Linked DNA regions of Oryzias latipes. The protein of the gene in region 4 purifies or fractionates together with the protein of the main gene of each other region. This does not show direct contact. Links are inferred from orthologs where the notes say so. Each region holds a gene or a part of one and is shown on either strand. Other genes may lie near its edges.

Region 1 (3,513 bases), on a different chromosome or scaffold from region 4:
GGGCTTTTTGCTGACTTTTACTTGGGTTCACTTTTGTTAGTTTGTTTACTTTTATCCCTGTTTTACTGGAATTTACCTGCTTTAGACTCCCTGTGCCACTCTGTCTCTGATTCTGTATTGTTTTAACATCGTGAAGCACTTTGTGAGTCTTTCTGTGAGAAAGTGCTCTATAAATAAAGATTTACTTACTTTACTTTCATAAAAAATAGTTATTTTTGTTGTATTTTTGTAGTTTATAGGCCTTTTCCCCTGATGTCTCCACATAATATTAATTGCTTGTAAATTAAATCTTACATTTTTTTTTTAAGTTTTAAAAATCTTTTTCAAAAAACATGTTTTTCCACAAATTTTATTAAAACATTTAGCAGCTAATAGGCAGGTCAACATGTTTTCTATAATGTAACTATGATAATAATGGTGATAAATGTAGTTTTTCTATGAGACGGAAAAAAGTAAACAGGTGACTACAAAACATTTAGCATTAACAAGTTTTTTAAGACAGCTTTTATACTTTAATGTTTTGAAGGTTCTTTTTAGATAAAGTTTAAAAAAAGTCATTACAAAAGTCTGAATAAGACACAGAACTGTAATATCCAGACCTTTTTTGTTCTTCTGGTCTGCAGATAAGGCCTCTGCCACCCTTTTTGCCCAGGTATCATAGGACTGCGCCCGAGCCTTTACCCCGTACAGCATGGAAGGGAACTCCTCCAAGTCATAACGATAGCTAAGGCAGGGATTTAAGAGAGCAAGTCATTCAAAAAAGAAAGGGAGGGTTTGTTTTTTTATGTTCTCGTGGCTTCAATAAGACAAGGTCGCACCGCAGACATGCGTTTCCAAGAGGACAGTCACACAGATCTCCAGCGTGATGGAGACACACCAGCCTGGTGGGGCTGCAGGAGCAGGTCAGTGCAGACAGGAAGCAGGTGGTCTTACACTTGTGGCACTGCCGCTCGTCGTCTGGAACAAGCTCAAAAAATTCCTGTTCCGAGGACAGCACCCCCTGAAAAATAAAAATAAAACAACAGACCAATGAGGTTGGATTTTAGGCTACATTCAAACGCAAATGTCTATTTGTAATGTTAATTCAATGAACAGTCCATTTTGAGCGTCGCAATTCTTCTATCAGCAGCACATTTTGGGTTGAGCGGCGAAAATTCGGACAAGTGGCAAAAGTTTCCAGAGTTTAAATATCTAAACTTCAGTGAAGCTTCACCTCACATGAACCAATCAGGGACTCCGTTTTGGTCTGTGTTCTTATTCGTATCGACACATAAAAGAAATCATTTTAAAAATCCTCCAATTTTATTGATATTTTTTTACCCTCATTGGACTAATGCGAGACAGCAAGACATCAAACTGGATCACAGAGAGATAGAATTACTACTAAAGCCTATTTTAAACACATTTCCTGCACTAGATGGTGAACCTCACCGTACTGGGAGTCTCTGAATGACCTCATGAACCTCGACGTGATTACCGATGTTTTTGGAGAGCTCTTCAAAATAAATAAAACCTGATCTCTCGACATCATCCGTGTCTTCCATGATTTAGCAATGAGGCTAAAAACGTTTGGGGGTAGCTCCTCCCACACATTGCAAAGTGGCAGATTGATGAAGACACTTTTAGACGAGCGTCGACTATCACGCACAAATGGCGTTCAGTGGGAACGGATCATTGAGAACGCTAGGGTTACCGCAAAGTCAGAACCACCAGAAAGGTGATGGTTACCATTTCCTGCATAGCCTGCCGGAGTTTGCTCTCCTCCTCCATCATGTCACTCATCTCCTTGTAAACAGCAGCGGCCAGCTCCACGTCCAGGCTCTCTGGGTCGGCGGCCATCTTGCAGAGCAACTCTTCGTGGGAGAAGACGCAGTAGCGGTGAAGGCGGCGGTAATGAGCAACACACTGGCGTCCCATCGGCAACTACGACGCACAATTGAAACATTAAAAAAAGCCTTAATCCACAGAAATAGAAAAACCTCTGATGTGATTTATGAGTTGTTCGTCTCTCGTCACCCAGTCGGCTGTGCAGAAATTGACCGCTTCCGCAAAGTTGTAGCCTTGATTGAAGCCGCTGTGGTAAGCTCTGGGGAAGGTGACCACAAACTCGCCCGCACACTGATTGGTCCTGTAAACCTGCACATCGGGAGAAACTGGTCATAACCTGGACTCCACGATCAGCCCTTTAGGTCGAACCCCCAAGCTGTGGCCGCGTACGGGAACGCCGTGCTCCATGAGGACGTTGGGGTTCATGGTGGTGACCAGCTGGTGGAGGAGGTCGGGCTGGGAGTCGAACAGCTCGGGCGCCACCTTTTTCATCACAGCTTCAAGTTTCTCTGCGGCAGCGGCCGGCACGCCATACCACGTCTTGGGTTCACCCCTTAACAGCAGAAGAAGCAAAAGCAGTTTTACAAAGTTCAAAAAGATAAAGAAAACTAAGCATTATGCTAAAACCACACCCAATGAAACTTGCGTTTCAAATTGTCAAATTATGCTGCCTCTCTTTGGACTTGCAACAAAATTTCTCCTGCGTGCTTCTCCGATAACGTGTTCAGAAACTTGACATAAACTTAAAAATTCTTAATTTGATCCCAACATGGGAGCATTTATCTATTTTAAAAAGGTCTATAAAAGCATCAATTAGCACATCTGGGTTCATGAGATCATTCAGAGACTCTCCCAGTGCGGCGAGGTTCATCATCTGAATGACGGCTGCTTTCAGCGGTACTTCCGTCTGTCTGTGACCCGGTTGGACAGCTTGCTGTTAGTCAGAGGAATAACTTTTTCGGATCGTTTTGATGCAAATATAAAAAATATCATAAAGTTCATGAGGAGAACAATCAGATCCTCCATCGTGTTTGTTTTTGGATTCCGCTCACTGATCACATCATCAACCGGTCACGGGCCAAAGCTGAGCAACGAGTCTTCTTCGCCAAAGTTCAGATATGTCTGTTTTCATGACGTCCCTTAAGGTGGCTCCATGAGCCACAAGAGACCTCCAAGACACACCTATGCTCCTCTTCAGATGCAGCACCTCCCTCTCTGCAACCCTCCATGGGTCCAGACAACCAAAAACCTGCAGCATCTGTACGGGACAACATACGGGGGGGGAGGGGGCGCATTTAATTAAGCCTACAGGAGTTCTGAAAAATCCATTTACAAACTCTTGGAGGAGCACAGATGATTTGGAAGATATGAGAAGATCGTTCTGCTTCCCACAGCTTCGCAGATGTTGGATGTTTTGAAGTGCGGACAAACTCGTGATCTTTGGTTCTACGTGCTTTGCACACGTTTGCACCTCAGACTACAGGCGAACGTTTAAAAACATGGCAAGAAGACAGGGTCGCTTCTCACCAACGAAGTCTTGAAGTTAAATCCTGTTTCCCCATTCATCTAAGCAGAAGTCTTTAAGTCCAGATGGCCAACGTCAAGAAGACGTCACCTGAATGGAGGAGAACCTTCATCGACCTACCAATGAAGGAAGTTGATGGAGTAACTCCAGTGGTCCTCGAT
Region 2 (4,205 bases), on a different chromosome or scaffold from region 4:
ACAAAACAGATAGTGTTCACACACATACTTATGCCTTAAAACCAACTAGTGTGAAATATTTCAGTCATTCAATCATGCAAGCTATTAGTGCAAAGGTGAGCTAACACCTGTGCTCAGGTGAGGTTTTATGTTCTTCTAAAATGGATGGTGGAATGTGAAAAGAAGGAGGAGGAGCGCCCAGCCACCCCCACACCCATACCCCCGCCGCAGCAGCAGCGGCAGCCGGAATTCCCCCAACGCCACACGGGAACCGGCAGGGAACAACCGCCGCCCGGGCGACCAAGCCCGCCACCCAGGCCAGGGCCAGCAGGGCCGCCGCAAGGCCCCCAGAGCCAGAGGCCAGGGAAGCACGGAGGGAAAGAGAGCGCCGCCCCAGCCCAACCAGGAGAGCATCCTGGTTGGGCTGGGCATGAATCCTTCTTCAGACTAAATTGGAACATTGTAAATTATAGACAGACAGACAGACAAAAAAGGTTTGAGATATAAAACAATGTTGTTGTTTTTTTAATTTGTCAGGTTTAAAAGACATTACAGAGCAGAAAAAAAATATTCAAACAAAAAATGTGATTATGGGGATTATTTAAATGAGTGCAAGGATGCAGATTTGCTTTGATGTGACATTTTTTATTTCAGTGAAACGCCACTGTTGTTTATCCAGAAAGACAGTTCTTCTTGAGTCACATTTGTCCTAAAGTTCTGTGGATAATCCAAATGTTCCTGTTGCTCACAGTGTGATTCTCCTTGAACTCTCCTATGGATCCATGTTTGTCCAAAAGTCTCTGTCTGGCCGTTAAATCATGGGTTCTAACCTGAACTGAGTCAATCGAGGGTCTGATCTTCTTTCCATCTTCTTATTCTGCTTCTTTTATGATTTTCTGTATGATTCTTCATCCAAACTGGTCACTTCTGGGAAATTGATAATGGCTCTTTCTAGGGAACTTAGGAGTATTAAATTATATCTTTATCCATTAAATTTATAACTGGGAGTATCACATAACTGTGCTAATTGGACCTGATGTGTCTGGAGACAAGTAGATGTTTGGCAATAAAAAAGTGGTTTATTATAAAATTAATTTGAAGAATTATGTGTGGAGACTTAAGGCTCATGTGTTTTTGCTTATTTTATTAAATAATTAACTAATTTTTATTAAAATTAGCCATAACCACAGCTTATAGATTTACAAAAAGACTTTAAGGTTCTCTTGTCCTTTTTTATTTCTTCATGCAGCAAAAAAGACAGTTGTCTCTTGAAAGCCTATGGAGTCCATCATCCTGTGGTATTCACACTATAACCAGATTTTTCCAGGTTCATCAGTTTACTCCCAATGTCAGATAACGGCTACCAAATTACCCAATTAACATGATCAATTGAATAATTTCATAACCCAGAACACACAAACCCCACACAAAAAGAAGTAAATAAATAAACGGCCATTGACAGCACCAAATACTGTATCGAATCTCTTGCAATTGCCTGTTTTTTCCTTTTTTTCCATTGCAGATACAAAATTAAAGCGGATGTGTTTATTCTCCAAGGTGAATAAAACTAATTATATGTTCGTCCTTCTAGTTAAATAAAATACAATAAAGTATATTTTGTGCAATTTTTAAACGGAATACTCGTCAGGCACAAGCTTGGACAGCTTAGCGCTTGGGGGTCCTCGCAGTTGTAGGCGCAGTTTCAAGCGAGCAGCAAAACACCGAGCGATTGTTTATTTTGTTTTGTTTACATCCTCCAAATAAATAAATGGCGTCCACTTTAATATCGCCCGTGGTGGATTATTACAACGACGAGGAGGAGCTCGACAGCGTGGATGACGACGATGATCGGAGCTTCAGGGGCAGAGACTCCGAAGAAGGTAACGTTAAATCAGTAGAACCTTTCTCTGTGGTTCGCGGGCTCCGTCTATTTATTGGAGAAGAAACGGAAATGCGCGGCCATTGCACATGTTTCGCTTGTTGTTCGTTGAAACAGCACCTACAGTTAAGTTAAGTTTGGGATTTGAAAATATATATTTTGGGTAAACATGTGAGGTTTGATTATTGAGCGTGAAAGTGGTAGAGTTTGTACTGCCTAGGCTTAGCTTCAAGCTAACATTTGGTTCCCGAATTGTTTTTTTTAAACAAAGGAAGGAAAACAAATAAAAATAATTGAGTAAAGTGACTTTATTAAAACAAATATATCAAATAATTAGCCACTAATAAATAATTAGAATGAGTCCCTTTTCTATCGCTATTTCCTAAAGGGTTGCCTTTTGTGGTGCATGAATGTTTATGCTCAAATGTCACATTTCTGCTCGAAAAAATTGGAATCGTCTAATAAAAGGGTTTAAGTGAGTGATTTGCAGAGTAAGTCACAGGAGTACCTCCCTCCCCTGCAGTTAGTTACCGCAGGATTTCAGTGCAATTCCCCGCAGCGTCCGTCCGCAGCGTTAATCAGCCGCCCTCCTACGTAACTTTAGCTCTGAGCGTTGACAGGTCGGCCTGCCTGCCGTGTCCACCGTTCTGCCCTTTCACACTCCGGTCAGGCGATCGCAGCGGAACCCGGCGCATCGAGGCGATGACAGCCCTGCCAGGTCTGCTTGTTTGGTGCTCCTGACCTCCAGAAGAACTGCGTAGCGTAGCTTTTATCTCCCCTTCTCTCCGCGCGCGCGCGTGTGTGCTGACGGTCCCGATCGCTCCGATCTCCTTGGAACAACTGTTGGAGCTAACTTTAGCTAGCCCTCAAAGCTAACTGAAACCGAAAGCGCTGCGTCAGCTTACGTGGGCCTCTCTGTCCGTGTCTTTTTCCCACGGGTTCACGAAGAAAACGGCACGTTTGTGAAGTCGATCGCGTCATCGTTGTGCTTCTGGGGGGGTAGAAACGTCCCGGCATCGCTCCGAGGGGGGTAGCCGCTGCTGGACCTGACAGACAGACAGCGGGAGCGCGGAGGATCAAAGCCCAGCAGCATGCGGCAAATGTTTGACTTTCACGCGGACATCTGCACCGTCATTCCTCCGCCTCGAACTTTAACTTTGTCCCTTTTGAGTTGAACTGACGTGAGGCTTAAAAACAAACGTGGATCTGACCTGGGGGGCATTCAGTATGACCTCACCGGAGCCCCCCAGGCTGGTCTGCAATAAGACCTGTGCTGTCTGTCTGTCTGTCTTTCCTTCCGGGGAGGGAGCCGCTGACATGATCAGATGGGTTTAAGTGAGTTCAAACTTCAACTCAGTCTCTTTGTCCCCCCCCCCCCCCCCCCCCCCCTCAAAGACACAGAAGATGCCAGTGAGACGGACCTGGCCAAGCATGACGAAGATGACTATGTGGAAATCAAAGAGCAGTAAGGGATTTGTGTCTTTGTGTGTACTAGTGTGTGTGTGCGTGGCCTGAGCCGAACCCTTATTTGTGGTTTTGTTTTCCTGACAGAATGTACCAAGACAAGCTGGCCTCGCTGAAGAGACAGCTGCAACAGTTACAAGAAGGTAAAGATGCAGGCCTGCACAGAACGCCATCATTTCAGAGTGCGTCATTAAAACCAAAGTATGTCTGAAGGGGTTTGTTTGTGGTAGGAAAGGTCTGCATGTTTTCCCAGATATCATTGCTCTACTGGTTACCTGGATCACCAGGTGTGTCTAGGATGTGCTGGAGAACAAATCCAGCCCTCAGGTGCCCCCCCTGGTTTTAGATCTGGCTTTTTTCTTAAAGCAAAGATGTGGGTGTAAACCAGAGATCTCCAACCTTTTTCAGGCCACAGATCGGTTTAAAATCAAACGGTATTTTCACGGACGGGGCTGAAGTGGGCCTCTGAGTTCTTTTATTGTTTTTTGCCTCCTGCTTTCTTTAGGTTTTGAGGGTAATGTTCATCTTCATCCTCTGTAAAATATCTGCTTTAAACTTAATTTGAACACTAGATTTCATGTAGGAACGATTAAAATGTGATCTAGAGTTTCCCTGAACCCACAGCCATCAAGGAGGAAGCTTAAAAACTCTGAACTCTTTAAACATTATTAAAAAAAACACTAATCCACTGTTTGAGTAAGTTTATTAGCAGCATCCTCATAACTTGCTGAATATTATTCATTATTATTATGGTCCATATTTGGATTTAAGACTGTTTTTTTCTGATAAATGCAGCTGTCCTTTATTTTGAAGTCCTCTTTTGTTTCTTCTCCGACTCTTTTCTCCCAAAAGAAACTATGAGTATGTTTGTTTTTGTCAACTT
Region 3 (4,020 bases), on a different chromosome or scaffold from region 4:
TCACAGCCCGTAATCTGTTACATAGAAAGTTGTCAATCAAATCGGCCAATACTATTATTAAATCATTTTAAAACGCAATAAATCGATATGTAATTATTTCACTTTATTTATTTTCTTAATTTATTCATTTTCTTTTGTTGTAGTTGTTGTTTTTCAATTTTCAATTGTTTTTGTTCCTGAACAGTTCTTTGTTTTTGGTGTGAACTTCATTACTTATTTCTGTATTTTGAAAAAAAAAAAAAAAAAGTTTTTACATGTTTTTTACAGTTGATTACATGTTTTGCAGACCACATGTTTTATACACTTTTGCAGCTGTATTTATTTAATATTTATTTATTTAATAAGAATCTCATTTTTGATAATAATTTTCCTAATAATTGTAATAATAATTTTAACTATTTAATATGAATGTCATTTGTGATGTCCTTTTTTGATGTTATATTATATAGATTATTTCTGAATGTCGTTTTTGCTGCCACAGATAAATGAAATTTCCCCATTGTTGGATTAATAAAGTTATCTATCTATCTATCTATCTATCTATCTATCTATCTATCTATCTATCTATCTATCTATCTATCTATCTATCTATCTATCTATCTATCTATCTATCTATCTATCTATCTATCTATCTATCTATCTATCTATCTATCTATCTATCTATCTATCTATCTAGTAAAAGCTAGATATGATGTCAGCAAAAACTGATCAGTCAGTCATTCCAGTCTATTGTATGGAAACACTTATAAATTTAGCAAAGACATGTGACCATACAGTATGGTAGAATGTTATAATAATAGTCCCTTTGTATTATTTTAATTTGGAAAAAACAAAAGTGGGCTAAACTTTAGAAAACTAAAATGTGAATGGATTTTTCATAAATTCTTGTTTACTTGTTTGTTTGCACACAAATTTATTTACACTCTATTAGCTTGCAAGAAATTCAAGGAACCTGGAAAACTTCATTTGCACTGTCCGGTACCCAGGTATTTCTCTCTGAGTGACACTGGTACAAGTTTTAGCTTTCCTGGATCCATTTTAGGTCAGTGAATCGGATCACTGCAGCAACTAAAAATGTCATGAATTACATTTTTGTAAAAGTAAATCGTTACACCCCTACTAGACAGCAAATTGTGGAAAAACTGGATTTAAGTTAATCAAAGCTCTGTAAAATGTTTGCAGCATAAATTAAATCTACTTGTAAATTTTTATTTTGGACGAAAAATAGTTTTTAAAATGCAGTTTTTATTCAGTTTCACAAGCACTATAACTAAAAAGTTAGACAAATCGGACTGTGCTTCACACGTGTCCACTAGGTGGCGGTAGCGCAAAAATTAGACGGTTAACCGACCGAACCTAAATTGCAGACAAAGAGCGAAGCTAATATCCGGTAAAAACAATAGTTGAGCGACTACGTTTAATTGCTACAATGGATGGCAGTTATTTTGGACAAATGTTTGCAATTGATCTCTCGGAAGACCAGACATTTTGTGACATCTGCTGAACAAAGATTAGTGAGTAGTTGTTAGCATTTTTAGGGTGAATCGAGCATCTTCCTCTAGTTTCCTTCGTACTACGTCGGCGTCGTTTTCCTGAAAAAAAAAAAAATGCCGCTTGGTTTGAAACCGTGTTGTGCTGCGTGTAAGACGAACTCTTCCTCCATGTGGAAAAAGGGAAGCCAAGGGGAGATCCTGTGCAATAACTGCACGGGGAAGAGCAGCAGCGCCACGGCGGCAGGACCTTCCATGTCATTCAGCGCTCAGCCCAGTAATGGCGGAGGGAAGCAGGTCAGTCAGTCAAAGGAGGACTCAAACTCCCAGCAACTTCTCCTTTGCTCAGCATCAAACCACGTCTGTTTCTTTGTAGTCCAAGCAGGAGATACACCGGAGGTCTGCGCGGCTGAGAAGTACCAAATACAAAGCTCCTGCTTCTGAGAAGAAAGTGTCAACAAAAGGAAAAGGAAGGAGACATATTTTCAAACTAAAAAATGTCAGTTAAAAAAAATAACCAAAAATCATTCTTCCTGTCATCTTTTATTTTAACCTGTAAACTCTTCCCCACAGCCAATCAAAGCTCCTGAATCTGTAGCAACGATCGTCACTTCAGAATCTGTATTTTATAAGGTATTGTGATTATTATTCCAATCATTTGTTTGTCCGTGTTATACTGTTGGTCTGCAACCTGTGGCTCCGGGGCCACAGGTTGCTCTTTTACCCCTCCACTGTGGCTCTCTGATTAAAGAAAAATAACGTTGTGATTTTAAAATATAACTGTAATGTAAAAAATAATTATAAATAAGTAGGAAAGTAAACTTACACAAACTTTATTCAACTCATCCACAAACAGTTGAAGGACAGTACATATCAAAAACATTTTTGACAGTTTTTTTTAGCGCAGTGTACTGCAGAAAATCAATTGGAGGTCAGTAAGCACAATTAGGGAGGATTTTTGAACAAATTGAATGATTTTAAATTTGTTTACGTTTGAAAAATATGGTAAGGTTCACTTAATTAGCTCTGATTTAATTATGGTTGGTTAGGATTTACACATTTATGGCTGAGATTCACCACAAGCGATAAAATAATGTGTTGTTTTTGTTTTGTTTTTTATCACTGCTAACAATACGCCAATACCCTTATTGCATTGAGATGATTCTATATGACACCGGCTGTCTTTTATTTTGAAAGGAATTCATGTGAACTTCTGTCAAAAGTTTAAACTGTTTCATTTGTTTTAAAAAGGCTATTTTATCTTTGTTTGTTTGATTTCTGCCCAAAAAAGCAACAGTTCATTTATATTTATCATAATAATAATAATGACATCAATAAATATTTTTAAGGGTGAAGTGAGATTTTGTGGATTCTGTTGGGTTCAGTGAGAAATCGACCCAAATGGCACTTTTAGCGTTGAAGGTTGCATGCCGACTACTGTCTATGTTTTTGTTTCTTTTAACATCTCTTCACAAATACAGGGGGTTTACTACCAGACAGGTGATGTGATCAAGGTGATAGATGAGGATGACGGGAAGCCCTACTATGCTCAGATTCGAGGATTTGTGCAGGACCAGTACTGCGAAAAAAGTGCAGCACTAACGTGGCTCATTCCCACCCAGGCCAGCCCAAAGGACAGGTTTGATCCTGGGACTTACATTGTCGGTGAGAACTCCTACAGAATAACATATTTCTTAAGTGATTTTCTGGTCTTGGGTTAAGCATCATGTGTTGTTTTCCAGGTCCAGAGGAAGATCTGCCCAGAAAGATGGAGTACCTTGAGTTTGTGTGCCATGCACCCTCTGAGTATTTCAAGTCCCAGAGCTCCCCGTTTCCCACTATCCCCATATGTCCTGAAAAAGGCTACATTTGGACCCATATAGGACCTTCACCAGCATTCACTGTCAAAGAGTCTATCAGCACCACCAGTTAACAAACAGTATTGGTAAAATAATTGTAATTATGCAGAGTATGTACATGTTTGTATTTGTAAATAAAACCAACTTTTGTTTTTCATTTCTCATCTCACGACTTTAATTCTTTAAAAACATAACAAAATAACAAAAAGACTATTTGAAATTTCTTGATTTTCTAAGTTGCAGGAGGAAAGTAGACCCTCCCCCTCACAGGGAGGTTTTTGACTTTATCAGCACTTTTGGGCTTTTATGGTTTCTAGCTTTTATTTTCACTCAAAAAAAACCTTTTTATAAAATTTCTGAGCCTTTTAGGAAACATGTCTAATATTTTTTCATAGTTCTGATAACACTAAGGTCATGAGCCACGGCTCCTGAGCTACTTCTGAGCTTTAAGATGCCAACATTGTTGCATATCTTTTAATAAAAAATGTTAACTTATAAACAATAAAATCTGCACAGTAAAACAAAATGTTGCCCTATCGGTGTGAAATAGCTGTAAAGAAGACTAAAGCTAAATTATTTAGAATTTTTTTTTTTTATTAGCTGACATTTTCAGTTAGTGAGGTTTCCACATACGGAATTTGCAAAAAAATAAGTTCTGTCAAATTCAGTCA
Region 4 (3,513 bases):
AAATGGCCTTTTTTGATTTAAATCAAAGAAAAGGTTAAAGGTGCACATTTTCATCTTATCGAGCTTTAGGTCAAATCTTGTAATGGGGGGTCCTTTCGTATGCAAACACACCTTCCTTTCTCTTAATTCTGTGTTTTGCTGTCATTAAATACATCAGACCCTGCAGTGAATAAACGCGACTTTTTCCCCCTTAGGTTTGGTTTTTACTCAGATTAACTGTAGAATACGTTTACAGTTTAACATTGAAATCCTTCTGATTGAAGAATAGACAACTGTTAGAAACCAGGAAAAAAAACACAACATGTCAAGCCAGGGCCGGTTAATACTTCAACAAAGCCTCATCAACAAGAATAAAGTAATTCAGAGTTAGTAAAGGGGTCCAGTCAGATGAAGCTACACAAACACAGGGGTTAGTGGGACAGAAAGGAACAACAGTTCCAAGGTAAAATGTTCATTCTGTGCCACTTTGCATTCTTTAAACACTGATAAAGCTATGAAATGAATCGATTGTGTTTCAACATCACACAATAAAGGCAAACTGCAGCATTTCTCACTATTTAAATCAAGCTTTCTTCTTAACTGAAGCATTTTGTCACTTTTGGCCGGCGTCGTTTGGACAAATGCGTCCATAAGAAGCACGAGCATACCTTCAGCAGAGGAGACATGTGCTGCAGGAGGACGGGCCGGGGCCTCTTCTTGTTCTGTTTGCTTGATACATCGTCTTCCTCAGACTTTTTCAGCGGCTCTTTGCTCCCCGTCAGCGAACTCCCCGTGAACTAAATTAGCAAAAGAAGAAGTAAATATCAGCAGAGACATTCTGAAAAGCAAATACAGCTAGTCTGTCTCCATTGGAGAAGCCGGACAAACCGGAAAAACCAGGTTCGTTTGTGACTCTTCACTTATTTCATTAAGGTTAGAAGTTCACATGCTGGAGCTTCACTGACCAGAGATCTCTTAGCATCGGGTAAGAACTGTCCAAACTCAGCCAGAAGATCCTCCTGCCCCTTAAAAAGGCTGGCCACTTTGGAAAAGACTTCGTCTTCAGTCATGCCGCTGCTGCCCCGACTCTCCTTGGCTTCCAGCTGCTCCTTCTGCAAAGTGACGGGGGAAACCGTGTTGACATGGAGCCAAAGGGGGAAACACTCTTTCTTTTAAAGAACAATCACATCTACAGTTATCAATATCTTGTAAAACAGCCGTTTTGATGCAATAGTGATGAATGGCGTGCATTCTGACACATCCACCCCATGACACACGTTTCAGGAATAAAACGGCCAACAAGCCGCTGCAGTCTCGTCTGTACACTGTGATAAATGTAAAACGTTTCAGTTATGGAGCTGGAAATCTGCTTCCTAATCAGCCAGTTTTTACCTGATAGGTGTGGAGGATTTCTAGGAAGGCTCTATAAATCTCTGGGTGGTCCAGAAAACGGTTTTTAATCTTGTTAACATAGCTGATGGCACTGTCAAACTCAACAGGACTGGTCTCTGACGCCGGCGGGGACACCGAGGAGACGGCGGCCGGATTGTGGCTCTCTTTAGTCAGGGGGAGAGAAAGTCTGCTGGGGGGCTCTGCGGGTCCCGTCGAGCTGGACGACAGGGAATCGGACGAAGGCGCCTTGACTTCACTGGTCTGGACCGGTCCAGCTTCAGCGTGGACCGTGGAGGCGGGGCCTGAGGACGAGCCCACTGCAGGAGGGGTCAGATTTTTAGTGTGCTGTCCCGGAGACACCTGCATGGGTGGACAGGGGGGGTGGACAGGGGGGGCAAACAGTGCATGAGACATTAAAGAAATGAAATGTTAAAGAACATGAAACATAATTACATCGGCTCTGAAATAAAGTGGATTTTTTAAAGCAAAAGAATTCAAACTCCATAAATTAAAAATAACACTGATTTGAGCTTTTTATTAAGCAGCTTTAGCTCCAATAATCCACAGTTTAATACAACAATCTGGTTTTACAGCACAATGGAGAGCTTTTAGATTTTCTTTAAGCACTTTGTAAATAAATGCAAACATTTATAGGCAAAAAGGAGCAGAAAAAAGTGTCTTTTTAGATTTTCATATGCAATAACAGCGCTATGAGGTCATCCAATAAGCTCTCAAATTTGCAACATTTTGTGTGAGAAACATGAAACGATTAAGTTTAGCAAAGACGATCATGATTCAAATCAATTGGAATATTATTGAAAGTGTATAGATTTCAAAAACTGAAGTGACAAAATGATTAAATGATTTCCAAAATCCATAAACTCCACCATGGGATGCATCTAAAATCAGAATCTTCTCTGACAGTTTGTCATTCTGGGAAACATCCGACAGCAACGTTACATTCAGAGGATTCAGTTCCAGGTTCATCAAAAGTGCAAATAAGCCCACAAAGAGACATTATTCCACACAAAGTTTAAATAACAAATACATCTGCAGCTCATGTGGGTCAAACGCACTAATACAATCTGATGGCAGCAAACTCTCCAAAGTTTGGCCGCGTTTTGTGAATAACCATCACTCAGACATCAGTTTTCTCTCAAAAACACACTATGATAAAACAAAATGTTGTTTTTAACCTGTTCTGCTGATGGAGGAGAAACAGAAAGAATAAGTAAATAAATAAATAAAGACAAAATAAAAAGCCTATAGTTGTTACGTGTAAGGGTCAATGGCCGACGAAGTGTGCATTATCACTTTTTAACGCACACCGTGGAAGCCTGGGTGCTTCCGCGAAGTGCGTTAGTTCTGATAATGAACACTTCAAAGGCCATTAACCCGCTTATACCATGGTCACTTACAAAAGCAATAAATAGTAACCTGTTTTTGGTACTTAATTCTTGTTTTTTGTTCCGATTTGGATCACTTTTCTCACAAAAAGCGGACTATTTGTTCGCGCCGCATCACTGCTGCAGTCAAGATTCGGCGATATATATCTATGCTGATCTTCCCGATGGGTTGAATAAAGCATCAGTTCAGAGAGAAAGTTCACTTTTTACCGCTTGTTTTTGTCCAAATGATGAAGCAAAAGGTTGTTTTAAAGAAGCCGGCGTAGTGATACAGAACATTTAAGCTAGGTGACCGGAACTTCTTTTTTCACCGTGCAGTTATCCTGTGGTATATCACTTTTTAATGCACACCCAGCAGCCAATCAGATTCAAGTATTCACCCGGGCCATGGTATAAAAAAACTACAATGGACAGCCTCCAGCCCCCGCTCCATTCTGATCCTCCACCTGCAGACCAACAGATCCATGATCTTCTTTGTTTTCCTGGTCTGAGCTGGAATCTGGATCAGAACTGGACGGCTGGATGGATCTGATCACTGTTTTTGTTGCACTGCTAATGCTAGGTTGGGGGTGTGAGGGGCAGTAAGCTAGTGGGAGAGGGTGTAAACTGTAAACAGATGATGGGAAGGAGGACTGGCTTTCACCACGCCAACGGTCCCGCCCACAACGCCGCTCTACAGGAACTATGTCCAAGAAAATGACTGGTTTAGTTTAGCCGTTACCTATTGATTCTATGA
Region 5 (4,102 bases), on a different chromosome or scaffold from region 4:
ATATGCAAGCAATGAGACGAATGTTACGGTGCAGAAGAGATGTGTGGGATCTCCTCTTATTGCTACAGAGCACCGCTAGAACTCTGGTATGACCGGAATGTCTGCAGGTCAAAAATTACATAAAATGCTATTAGAGCTTTGTTAAACACCCAACAAACATTGTTTTGATGTAACATTTTTCACACAGTGGAGGATTTATATAAAGAAAATTAGGACTCAAATTGCACATCTGAGTATTACTTTATTTAAATCAATGTGAATCATGAGCAGACAAAAAAAATGCTGTTGATGAAAGTCTGTCGTTGTGTACAAACTACAATAGCTGGGGCCACAAGCACCCTGCTCCGCTCCATTCTGATGCATCCACTTGCACAGCTGTACAGCTGGATATCTGTTACTGCTCGTCATTTTTATTGCACCAGTAATGTTAGGTTGGGGGTGTGAGGGGCTAGTGGGAGACCATGTAAACACAGATCATGGGAAATGAGCACAGTCTCACTCCAAGTCAACAGACCAGCCCACAACTTAGACACTAATTTCTGACGAACTCCTGCTGCTCTGCAGAAACTATGTCCTAGAAAGTTACAGGCTTTTTGGATTTGGGGCAAAAGTGGTGCAATGATAATTAAAAGACCACTGGGAACACTTTAAAAACAGATGATTGGAGCTACAAGAGCAGATAGACGATCCCTTCAAGTTTTACGTCCCTTTTCCAGTATTATTTAAAGCCAAACACATAAAATAAGACCATAATAATATTTTGTACATCATTGCAGAACAATAACATCCAATCATATTCATGTCGGCCTCACATTCATCTTCACAACTCTAACAAGGACCAACACTCAGCATTCAAATCTCTAAACACAAAACACAGCAGAGAGAAAAGTTTCAGTTTTTTTGAAGTGAGGAACTCTACTTTGTGCATAGGTCTGCTTTTAAACCTCTTCCTCATGCAGGCTGAGGAGTGAGGAGCCTGGCGTTTTGCAGAATATCTAGATGACAGGAAGCGGCGGAATGAATGAGCCTACCTTCATCTCCGTGGGTCCTCCGCGCGAGCACAGCCACAAATCCGGGGCTGAAAACAGAGGATCCGGTTAGCCATGAGACAAGCAAGGAGCCAGTTTCAGTCTGTCACAACAAGATGTTATGATGACATCACTGATGGATGAAACGGCGGGCGCGCGTGCACAGCTTCCTCGTGCTTTTGTTTGAACCTGCTCAGATCAGACTGGGTCTAGATAGAACCAGGGTGTGTGTGTGTTTTCCAACGGGCGGATCGAGCCCTTTAAGGCGTTTATGTAACGCTGCCGTACCGCCGCCTGTCACACTCCGAGCGGTCAAAGGCGCGGATGGCGATCGGGACGACGCGGTTGGAGCCCCCCGGACCGCCGTCTGCGCCGCACCGACTACACCACCAGCCGTTCAGCAGGGGGATGACGCCATTTCTGAGCCGAAATGTGCTCCGCGATATTGACGCCTCTTCACCGAGCCGTTTTCCTCCGGGACTCGGACTTCTTTCTTCTTGTTCGCCTTCCGCTTCTCCAGAAACAGCGTCTCCGCAGACGCAGAATCATGAGCTGTGTCGCAATGTCCAACCATAAGTTGAATAAAGTGCGACTCGGCGGCGGTGACACGTTAAAAAAAGTCTCCCCCGAAAACATGTCAGCAGCTGAGCTACCGGGCTGGCGGTTCCGCTCCCGACAAAGAAAGAAAGTCGACGAAACGGTTCGCAACAAGGTCAAGCTCGGTCTGCGCCGCTGCAACGTCGCCTTCATTTAAAATTATTTTTTTAAACGTGTATTTTTGTAAGGAGCCAAGGTCGAAGCCCCCGTTTTGTGGCTCCGGAATACCGCGGAGGATACAATGTCATCCGCCCCAGACGGTGACCGACCACCGACAACCGACAACCGCCTCGAAACACGGGAATCCATTTAAACCCGAGTCCTCAACGATTTCTGTCCGGTCAGTCTGTTAACGCGATGCTACGGAGATATGTTAAAAGAAAAAATAAAACTAAACACAACAATAGTGCTCACATGAACCGGGATTAGATCTGTCAGGCGGAGGAAACCATCCGCGGAACCGACTTGACGACAGATAAACGAGTCCAGGAGCTACTGGACAAGTCGATCGCGAAGAGCGGAGGACTGCACAAAAGAAACGACTGACAATGCAATTTACCTGATAAACTACACCGTTGGCGCGGCGGTTAAAACCCCCCATCCCGCAGCCGCGTCGAAGCGGTCCGGGCCACACACACAAAAAAACGGGTCCGAATAATCTCACTTCCCCGTCGGTCGGTGGGAGAACACCGTGACAAGCGGCGCAACGACGAGGATTCCTCTGCTTCGGTCCCGCCGCGTAGCGGAGCTGTTCTCTGCGTTCAACCGGGAGGCTAACCATACAACTTTGTTGTCAAGTTTTTTTTCCTTTTTTCTTCTTCTTCTATTTTCCAAATGATCTGCGGCCCGGTCAACTTACTCATTCATTCCCCCCCGAAGAACATTATTAGTTAACAAGTTAGCTAACGTCACGGTCGACTTGGGTAGCAGCAGGGAAACATGCTAGAAAAAAATGTTGAAAATACCGAACAAAAGCCGACTTACCGACGCTGTCAAGTTGATAAACTCCGATTTTTCGACAAAAGCGTGTTAATAATCCATAGGAACATTTATGGAGGCAGGGAGTCCGGTTTTAACGTCGTCTGTTAGCCCCTGGTTGATGTTGGATGCGGATTGATAAAAGTGCTTTTCGCAGAGCTGCTGTTTGCCTTGTTGAGTGGCTCATAGGTCTCTCCGTGATCCCCCCTCCCCTCTCCTGAGAATGATTGACAGGCCAAACGTTCCCGCCTTACGCGAATATCTGTTCTCTGATTGGATAAAAAAGTATAATTGCACATCTTCGTGGTCCGTGATTGGCTCCTCTGGGAGAAAAAATATCTACAGTGATACTGAGTGGCTCTGACGAAGCAGGGCAAAAACTACAAAACCCAGATTTACTAAATCCATGTACGTTCGATTTGTATTACAGAGTGTCCCGATTATCATTAAAGTGCTGTTTACATTGACTCAGTGAGGTGTCGCTTTCATCCGGCAGTGGATATTTTCTAATGAAACAATCACTCAGTAAGGAAACCCCGGTTAGACGTCAGCCACCATTCTGCGCCTGCTCTGTAGTTTGACCGCAGCTTATAAAGCTAGCTCTTTCAAGGCAGCTCGACTGGTAACTGTCTGTACAATGCGCCATTGTAACATTAAAAGCTTAGCATAGCATAGCATCGAGCGGATATAGGCAGGCACCTAAAATGAGCTCAGCGCGTGAATGTGGAGACAATATCGAGAGCTCCGAATAACGCAGACGTTCATTTTTGAAGAAAGTGGGAGATAATAAGAAGTCATCGGTGACACAGCGGGATATTTATGTGGGTCCGCTAAGGCTAGCTAGCTAGGAGCGTGGCTAACCGGAATTCACGAGCGGCTTGTCAGCAACTGATAGGTGGGTGGGGTCAAGAGCACACAGAGTGTCCCAGCAGTGTTCACTGTAATGTGTTTTGTTTTTATTCATAGGGTGACATTTGATAACGTGTTTGTACGAGAAAGTGTTCTGTGATGATGGAAAAAAACTACAACTTAATGGAAAATCAGTTAAAAAATAAATTTACATCTCAAAATAAAATGTCAAAATCACTTTCACTGTTTAAATCAATCCTGTTAAATGACTTCTTCTTGATGCCAACTAGATCTTTGTTTTTAGTTCTTCTACTCTGATGTAATAAACTAATTTATTGCCAACAGTCGTGTGATTAAACGGCTAAACTGGATGCTTATACAAGTCTAGTCATGTCAAATGTGCTGCTTGTTCATGTTTTCCCCTCAACGAAATAACATTTTTATTGAATGCATTCTCAGAAATGCCTTATGTGTGTAACGTTTATGCTTAGTCTTCTATATTTTTAACGTATGTCAGGAATGAATCCTCGTTTGCCCCTACAGTTCCGTGTAAACCTAACAGAATATTTTAGATCAGTATACAGACCGCAGTAATGTGCAGAGTAGGATTTTTGTTTTGTTGGTTTTGAACTAAATCGACAATGAAAATG

What was found.
Region 1: the proteins of sin3b (region 4) and kdm5a purify together in Homo sapiens (affinity purification with mass spectrometry; 4 studies listed by BioGRID and IntAct, with this or other methods). This does not show direct contact. The link is inferred for Oryzias latipes from reciprocal best matches to the Homo sapiens genes SIN3B and KDM5A.
Region 2: the proteins of sin3b (region 4) and suds3 purify together in Homo sapiens (affinity purification with mass spectrometry; 3 studies listed by BioGRID and IntAct, counting the BioPlex papers as one, with this or other methods). This does not show direct contact. The link is inferred for Oryzias latipes from reciprocal best matches to the Homo sapiens genes SIN3B and SUDS3.
Region 3: the proteins of sin3b (region 4) and gatad1 purify together in Homo sapiens (affinity purification with mass spectrometry; 5 studies listed by BioGRID and IntAct, with this or other methods). This does not show direct contact. The link is inferred for Oryzias latipes from reciprocal best matches to the Homo sapiens genes SIN3B and GATAD1.
Region 5: the proteins of sin3b (region 4) and arid4b purify together in Homo sapiens (affinity purification with mass spectrometry; 3 studies listed by BioGRID and IntAct, with this or other methods). This does not show direct contact. The link is inferred for Oryzias latipes from reciprocal best matches to the Homo sapiens genes SIN3B and ARID4B.

Annotation. Positions count from the first base shown.
Region 1 is NC_019881.2:6,886,976-6,890,488, reverse strand, and holds part of kdm5a (lysine-specific demethylase 5A), read right to left. Parts: coding exon 3,473-3,513; intron 2,381-3,472; coding exon 2,218-2,380; intron 2,137-2,217; coding exon 2,017-2,136; intron 1,924-2,016; coding exon 1,729-1,923; intron 1,001-1,728; coding exon 819-1,000; intron 725-818; coding exon 600-724; intron 1-599. UniProt on the Homo sapiens protein: Histone demethylase that specifically demethylates 'Lys-4' of histone H3, thereby playing a central role in histone code. Does not demethylate histone H3 'Lys-9', H3 'Lys-27', H3 'Lys-36', H3 'Lys-79' or H4 'Lys-20'.
Region 2 is NC_019867.2:3,527,030-3,531,234, forward strand, and holds the start of suds3 (sin3 histone deacetylase corepressor complex component SDS3), read left to right. Parts: upstream 1-1,393; 5' UTR 1,394-1,747; coding exon 1,748-1,859; intron 1,860-2,463; exon of another isoform or gene 2,464-2,560; coding exon of another isoform or gene 2,561-2,576; intron 2,577-3,253; coding exon 3,254-3,323; intron 3,324-3,409; coding exon 3,410-3,465; intron 3,466-4,205.
Region 3 is NC_019869.2:23,121,613-23,125,632, reverse strand, and holds gatad1 (GATA zinc finger domain-containing protein 1), read left to right. Parts: upstream 1-1,336; 5' UTR 1,337-1,433; coding exon 1,434-1,514; exon of another isoform or gene 1,515-1,607; coding exon of another isoform or gene 1,608-1,673; coding exon 1,674-1,787; intron 1,788-1,866; coding exon 1,867-1,989; intron 1,990-2,063; coding exon 2,064-2,123; intron 2,124-2,971; coding exon 2,972-3,155; intron 3,156-3,232; coding exon 3,233-3,423; 3' UTR 3,424-3,507; downstream 3,508-4,020. UniProt on the Homo sapiens protein: Component of some chromatin complex recruited to chromatin sites methylated 'Lys-4' of histone H3 (H3K4me), with a preference for trimethylated form (H3K4me3).
Region 4 is NC_019862.2:32,325,045-32,328,557, forward strand, and holds part of sin3b (paired amphipathic helix protein Sin3b), read right to left. Parts: intron 1,732-3,513; coding exon 1,372-1,731; intron 1,092-1,371; coding exon 945-1,091; intron 777-944; coding exon 648-776; intron 1-647.
Region 5 is NC_019873.2:28,248,719-28,252,820, forward strand, and holds the start of arid4b (AT-rich interactive domain-containing protein 4B), read right to left. Parts: upstream 2,805-4,102; 5' UTR 2,610-2,804; intron 2,282-2,609; exon of another isoform or gene 2,185-2,281; intron 2,160-2,184; exon of another isoform or gene 2,040-2,159; intron 1,966-2,039; exon of another isoform or gene 1,179-1,965; intron 1,079-1,178; 5' UTR 1,038-1,078; coding exon 1,032-1,037; intron 1-1,031. UniProt on the Homo sapiens protein: Acts as a transcriptional repressor. May function in the assembly and/or enzymatic activity of the Sin3A corepressor complex or in mediating interactions between the complex and other regulatory complexes.